Linked DNA regions of Anolis sagrei. The protein of the gene in region 2 interacts with the protein of the main gene of each other region in a biochemical or structural test. Links are inferred from orthologs where the notes say so. Each region holds a gene or a part of one and is shown on either strand. Other genes may lie near its edges.

Evidence for each region.
Region 1: the proteins of STAT2 (region 2) and IFNAR1 form a complex in vitro, tested with the Homo sapiens proteins (2 studies listed by BioGRID). The link is inferred for Anolis sagrei from reciprocal best matches to the Homo sapiens genes STAT2 and IFNAR1.

What each region holds. Positions count from the first base shown.
Region 1 is NC_090023.1:69,799,285-69,803,204, reverse strand, and holds the start of IFNAR1 (interferon alpha/beta receptor 1), read right to left. Parts: upstream 2,463-3,920; 5' UTR 2,401-2,462; coding exon 2,337-2,400; intron 1-2,336. UniProt on the Homo sapiens protein: Together with IFNAR2, forms the heterodimeric receptor for type I interferons (including interferons alpha, beta, epsilon, omega and kappa).
Region 2 is NC_090022.1:138,707,217-138,711,136, reverse strand, and holds the start of STAT2 (signal transducer and activator of transcription 2), read left to right. Parts: upstream 1-1,517; 5' UTR 1,518-1,615; intron 1,616-3,920. UniProt on the Homo sapiens protein: Signal transducer and activator of transcription that mediates signaling by type I interferons (IFN-alpha and IFN-beta).

The DNA.
Region 1 (3,920 bases), on a different chromosome or scaffold from region 2:
ATCATCAACAACCAATAACAACCAGTAGCCAAGCACAATGGGTGTGTTCAGAGCTATGAGGGCAGGGGAAGGGCTTGTGCAATACACCTGCAATGGTAGAGCTGGTTGTAAAGTGCAAAAGCCAGATAATTAAATTAGGGCTAGAAGGGCCACGTCAACTGACAAACTGATTAATCAAAGGCACATTGGAACATTTAAGTTTTCATGTCTTTACGGAAGGTGGACAGGGTGGATGATAATCTAATTTCCCTGAGGAGAGAGTTCCAGAGCTGGGGGGCCACCACTGAGAAAGCCTGTTCCCTCATCCCCACCAACTGTGCTTGTGACTGAGGTGGGAGTGAGAGAAGGGCCTTCCCAGCAGATTTTAAAGCTTGCACAGGATCATAGGGGAAGATGTGATCGCAAAGATAGGCTGGACCTGAACCATTTAGGGCTTTGTAGGTGATAATCTGCACCTTGAATTGGGACTAGAGACTTACCGGCAGCCAGTGGAGCTGTTTTAATAAGGGATTGTCCACTCCCTATAATTCGCTCCAGTTAGGAACCTAAGTTCACTCCAGATAGAAATGTAAATAATAATGCACAGATATTCAAATAATTATGGTGCAAATTATAATTGGATGACTTTTTTTCTTCACAGTACCAAGACTTCATATCTTAAAGACAATTGGGGGGAGGGGGGGGGCTGCAGCAAAGAAACAGGACCAGTATCTTTGCAACAGTCCTATGGCTTCTCAATCTATTTGAAAGATCCGTTATTTTCCCTCCTCTATTAAGGCCTGTGCAAATCAGCATCCATATCAACAGATCTCCTAATTCCTCACCAGGACACTCTGCCATATCCTGAAATCTACCAGCAATAAAACCACATGGTAGAGATTGTGGAGGAATAATGCTCCATGCCAAGCCCAAAATGTTTTGCTGCCTGAGGCAGAGCAGCGAATGGTTGTTGCTTGTTGCTGTTATGTGCCTTCAAAACGACTCTGAGGTCTTCTACACAACCTTATATCCCAGAATATCAAGGCAGAAAATCCCATAACATCAGCTTTGAACTGGGTTATCTGAGTCCACACTGCCATATATCCCAGTTCAAAGCAGATGTGGGATTTTATTTAGCTATGTGGAAGGGGCCTCTGATTTATGGCACCCAATTCTAGAATTATCTTGGTGAAATTTACTGCCATACTCTGCAGCTGAAAGAGTACGTTTTCTAATGGCTTTTGGTGTCGGAGTGAGGGTTCAGTAGTCAAAACCACAAAATTTTGGAAAGAAGAATTAGATACTGCAACAAACTCAGACTTGGATTTGGTTTTAACTGGTGTGACTAATTTACTGTTTTAATGAAGTGTTTTAATATTTTAATATATTTGTTTATTATTTAAATGATGATAGCATAGTAGGGTGCTTATGTGGGGCCGCCCTGAGTCCCCTCTTGGGAGGAGAAGGGCGGGGTAAAAGTATACGAAATAAATAATAACATGTCCCCAAATAAAAAGGTATGGCGCACTACGCAAATAAAATACACAGGAAGTAAATACTTTCACTGACACTTCACTAATAGATACATTAAAAAATGAAATGGCATGGCCCAATTCCTGGAAGCCCTGGCTTATCAACACGCACCGATTGCGCTCAAACATGAAGTGCCAAGAAATGATGCTCCCTTTCCAGGAAGCCTGCTTCCTTTTCATCAAGTGTACCTTTGCCTCTCTTTGTGATGAAAACAGAAATGCAACGGGCCTTTGCAACGTTTCCTTCCTCATTGGTTCACTTCTACCCAGGGTGCATCATTTAACACTGTGGAACTAACGCAGTTTGACACCACTTTAGCTTGCAAGGCTCAATGCTGGGAGTTGTAGTTTTGCAAGGTGTTCTACCAAAGAGGACTGATGCCTTAACAAACGACATATTCCACGATTGCATGGCACTGAAGCCATTAAAAGTGGTGTCAATGCAGTGTAGATCAGGCATGGGCCAATTTCGGCCCTCCCTCCAGGTGTTTTGGACTTCAACTCCCACAATTCCTAACAGCCTCGGGCCCTTTCCTCCCCCCACCCAGCCGCTTAAGCGGCTGGGTGGGGGGAGGAAAGGGCCCGAGGCTGTTAGGAATTGTGGGAGTTGAAGTCCAAAACACCTGGAGAGAGGGCCGAAATTGGCCCATCCCTGGAGTAGATTCCATACGCTGAGCCATGACCCACCCCACCCTCCAAAGATACGGAGTCACTTGCTCGCCCCTTTCCCAGCCCCAAGGCAAAGCGGAACCAAAGCCGAGGCGGAACGGATGACGCGGGGGTTGGAGATCGGGGGGGAGGACGGCGTGCGGGGCACTCACTCACCTGGGGACGCGGTGCCCACTCCCAGCGCCAAGAGGACCACCAGCACGGCGCGCGCCCCTGCCATAGCTCAACCAGCAAGTACCGCGGGGCGGCCTCCAGGGGGCGCGCTTGAGGCAGAGTCCGCAGCAGCGTGGAGCCGCCCATAGGAAAAAAAATGCACCGCCTTCCTTTTTCCCCCCGTAGAGGCACGCAGAGGAGAGTCACACATACAGTGCTGTGATTGCGAGTCAAGCATAATGAGTCAGGGTTCATACAATGTATTGTCGAAGGCTTTCATGGCCGGAATCACTGGGTTGTTGTAGGTTTTCCGGACTATATGGCCATGTTCTAGAGGCATTTTCTCCTGACGTTTCGCCTGCATCTATGGCAAGCATCCTCAGAGGTAGTGAGATCTGTTGGAAGTAGAAAAAATGGGTTTATATATCTAGATGCAGGCGAAATGTCAGGAGAAAATGCCTCTAGAACATGGTCATATAGCCCTGAAAAACCAACAACAACCCAGGGTTCATACAGTTTGACACCCCTTTAACTGACATAGAATCATCCTGGGCCATCCAGTCCAACCTCCTGCCAAGAAGCGGGAAAGTCTCACTCAAAGCACCCCAGACAGATGGCCATCCAGTCTCTGTTTAAAAGCCTCCAAAGAATGAGCCTCCACTACACTCCCGGGCAGAGAGTTCCACTGCTGAACAGCTCTCCCAGTTAGGAAGTTCTTCCTAATGTTCAAGTAGAGTTTCCTTTCCTGTAGTTTGAAGCCTTTGTTCCTCGTCCCAGTCTCCAGGGCAGCAGAAAACAAGCTTACTCCCTCCTCCCTATGACTTCCCCTCACATATTCATATATGGACCTTATCATGTCTCCTCTCAGCCTTCTCTTTTGAATGCTAAACATGCCCAACTCTTTAAGCCGCTCCTCATAGGGCTTGTTCTCCAGACCCTTGATAAGGCTTTTGGCAGTCGCAAAGACCCTCTCTGTTGCACAGAGCGTGTTTCAGTCAGGTCCAATGCAGAAGACACAATAACATTGCACCCAGGCAAAAGGAAAAAAAAATACTCTTACCAGCAGTTAAAACATAAACTTGCAATGTTGCAAACAGTGCAACAAACTTACTTAGTCCTTGTAAGCAATACAGAATAAGGCTTCTTTATATTGATCCAAACGAGAGAGCAGTAGAAATGGCTGAGCAAAATGCCTGAGCAAAGGCTTCTCAGAGCAAAAACTGGTCTGTATTCCAAAACCCATATAGTTATACCCCACCAAGTGTGGTCCAAATTTACCAGTTGACCTACATTAGCAGCTGCACATAATAATCAACAGTATCAGGTTCTATTTAACACACACACACATACTTGATCCTGTTACAACTTACTGTAATACTCCCCACCAATTCACGAGCAAAACACGGGACTGTGGCTCACAGTTCACACATTTCTGCATGTGTAGAAAGAGGGAAGTCATGAAAATGAACAAAATCAGGCTACCAGCATTGAAAAATTCTAAAAACAGGACAGAAAATGAGGAGCAACACTCAAAAAGAAAGGCAGGCAAGAATCAATCAGGGCCAGCTAATACCTCCCAACAAACGA
Region 2 (3,920 bases):
TATATGTGTGTATATGTCTATATTTTTCAAAAATAGAAGAGAGCCACCCTTTTCAAGAATCCAGCACCCCATGGCTCCAGGAAGCATTTCTCAAAATCCTGGGCCGGTTTGTTCCAACACAAAGGACTCGATCAAAACCCATTTGCATGGACAATAAAACAAATGGTTCTTATCAACCAGATCTCAGAGGGCAAAAGGCTAGTCCATCTGGAGATAAGACCATCTTGATCCACCAACACAAAGGGTGCTGTCCTATCTGTGGAGGATCCAGGCTCCCCACTGCCTCTTTTTCATTGTGAGGACCCAGCTGGCTGATACCAGTCATAAATCCCATCAATGGACTCTTATCCCGGATGGAAGGACAACAAAAGATCTGGTCTCTGAGCCAGATGAAAATGTATCTTCCAGAGCATCAAAACAATAGCCTGGCCAGCTTGAGGGCTAAAGAAGGCAATCACTGACCGCTTAGACAATCGTTAATAATTTTAATCTTATCACCTTTCCTCTTCATTCATTGTTTCCCACCTGGCCTGCCTCCTCTCTTCCCATTGGCCAAGAGGCCGAAGCGGCGCTGGCTCTATGATTGGACAAGGCGCAGCTAAGCCAGCCACACCTCCCAGCCAGCTGATGACTCCAGCCAATCAGTGAGAAGCCAGCAAGGGGGGTGGGAGTGAGAAATTTGAATTTGACAGCTCTGTATTTCCCATAAAAACTGTAATATTTCCCCTTGTGAGTTATGTCGACTTTGGTGAATGATTGCAGTTTGACATCCACTCCAGCTGGAATGAAATAAACAACTCGGTGGCTTCTTCTTCAACTTAGTGAGATTTATTTGGGAAAAATAGTGAAAAATTCTATTTGGGTATTCTTGTCTCGCCAAGTGTTTGGGCCCTCTTTGGTGGGTCTGGCTGGGCCTTGCCTCAGTAGGACCCCCCCCCCTTAAATCTCATGTTTGACATCAAAATCACCCCCAGGCAGCAATCAGCCAGGCTTTGAAGCTGCAAGGGCCTTCAATGCTAATCAAGGTGGCCAATTTCAACATTCACACTTGCCTCAAGCAAACAAGAGTTCTTTCTCCCACTCTGGACATTATTCCACAGATATATACACCTCATTTGCCTAGTTTCCAACCTCTGAGGATGCCTGTGGGCGAAACGTCAGGAGAGAATGCTTCTGGAACATGGCCATACAGCCCTGAATAACTCACAGCAACCCAGTAGAGTTTGGGTTTTGAAAACTGTGGAGGGAAACTCCAAAAAAAAAGGAGTTGAAATGCTGTACAGGAATCTACACTGAGCATAGAATAGAGCTTCAAACTGCATTAAACGGGGCATAAACACTGCCAACCCTTTCCAAACCTGCCCAGGATTTGAATAGTCATGGGTCAAGCCAGGCTCCGCCCACGGCGCTGACGTCATTCCTGGGAAATCGAAATCTACAGCCGCCAGAGCCGGCTCTTCCCTTCCCGGGCGCTACTCCCTCCGCGCCTGGGCGGGGCTCCGGCGCCTTGACCAATCGGGAGGAGAGTGGGCGGGGCATTCGCTTTCCTGCTTCTGTTTTCGCTCCATAGACTTCGAAGGAAGGGAGCGCGCCGGCCCTGCAGAGAGCGGTCCAGGTGGGTGCGCGCGCAAGGTGGGCTTGGCGCGGGTGGGCGGGGAGGTCTGCTGGCTCCTACTGGAGTGAGACATAGGGATCTGGATGAGGTGTTTGCATCATCCAAAGTCGCAAACATCTCGGAGGAATGCTTACATAACTTAAGGGAGCTCAAGGAAAGATCAAACAACCCCTTAAAGCATCAGACATGAGCAAACTTCGGCCCTCCACATGTTTTGGACTTCAACTCCCAGAATTCCAAACAGCTGGTAAAGATACTGTTTTAACTGCCATGGCTCAATCAATGGAATCCTGGGAGTTGTAGTTCAATCTTTTGGAGACAACTTCAGGGCCTCTTTCAAAATACAGTAGACTCTCAGGGCCCTTCTCCACTGCCAGATAATCCAGAATACCAAGGCATATTATTCACATGATCTGCTTTGAACTGGATAATCTGAGTCAAAATCAAGAATTAGTTTTCTAAGATCAGAGATACTCGCAGGAACACCTCAGCAAGCAAGAGTCCAGGAGTGGCAGGCAAAAACCCAGAACTTCAAGCCATGAATGAGAGACTCCACCCCGGGCACACAGAAGACTGGGCAGCTTGGAAGGCAATGAGATGCAAAGCCAGTAAGATGGCTGGGATTTCTGGGAGTTGAAATCCAAACACAGCATCCATAAAATTTATTTATTTACCACATTTGTATACCACCTTTCTCAGCCCGGAGGTGACTCAAGACGGTTCACAGCTGGCAACAATTCAGTGCCTCAACAATTGTAAAGATACAGTTAAAACAATTATAAAATTAAAGCATTTAAGATATAATATAAAAACCGTACAAAGCCATAAAAATGTAATCAGCAGTGTCTCCTTACTAAAATTGTTATCCAATTTCAAAATACAGTAGACTCTCAGGGCCCTTCTACAATCAGGGCCAGCTAACACCTCCCAACAAAGGATGCCTCCAGGCAGGAAGCAGTCAAGCTTTGAAGCTGCAAGGCTATTAAATGCTAATCAAGATGGCCAATTGCAACATTCACATGTATCTCTTGCAGACAGGAGTTATTTCTCCCACCCTGGACATTCCAAGATATATAAACCCGATTTTCCTAGTTTCCAACACACCTCACAACCTCTGAGGATGCCTGCCATAGATGTGGGTGAAATGTCAGGAGAGAAGGCTTCTGTAACATGGCCATACAGCCCAGAAAACTCACAGGAACCCTTCTACACTGCCAGATAATCCAGAATATCAAGGCAGATAATCCACATGATCTGATTTGAACCGGGTTATCTGAGTTTACACTACAAATTCAAAGCAGATAATTTGGATTTTATACAGCTGTGTAGAAGGGGCCTCAGTTAACTGAAACTGAAGCAACCACTAGTCTACTAAGGAGCAAAAAAGAATAGAAAAAGAATACAGCATCCACAAAGCTGTTTTTGTAACACAGTAAAACTGTTACATTAAATTTGTTTTAATTGGACTCAATTTGCTTTTAATTACTGTATTTCAATATTAATATCAAGTCAATGCAGAATCTATGGTGTGGTGTATTATGGGCATAACATTAGTAAGGCTTATTTTTAATAGTAACTCTCAAGCAACCAGAAATGATAATATTTCCAGTATCTAGCAATTCCCATGAATGAGGGTTACTGAGGTCACATCTACATAGCCCATTTAATGCAGTTCAAAGCTAACTTCAAACTCTAGCAGCCAGATAAACTCCTACAAAAGTGTGTGATCCTTTGAAGATGCCAACCACAGATGTAGGCAAAACATCAGGAGAAAATGCTGCTAAAACACGGTCATACAGCCCAGAAACCATACAACATGGTGTGTGAAAGAAAGTTCTTAATATGCATCATTACTCTGTGATTTGTGTAATTACCATCTTGGCCGCCATCTGGTTTCAGGATTTTCTGTGTAATCATCTACACCAGGTATGGAAAACATCGGCCCACCTGGTGTTTTGGACTTCAACTCCCACAATTCCTAAAAATTGAAGTCCAAAATACCTGGAAGGCTGAAGTTTGCCCAGGCCTGATCTATACAGCAAAACCATTTTTTTCAATACTGGTTTGAAGCAGCATTAAATGGCTAGCGTAGATGTGTCTGAGCATTTCCTGCTTATAAATAAGAATGAAACAATAAAACTATGTAACAAAATTTGAAAAAAACATCTGTTCCTGGTTTGAAAGTGTTATTTCTTGTTTAATTGTACAGTACTTGCTTTGAAAGTAGTTGTTATACTCTAGAAACTTCATTTTTGTGGCAGCCACAAACTAGGTTGAATGAGTTAAGACTCTATGAGAATATTAA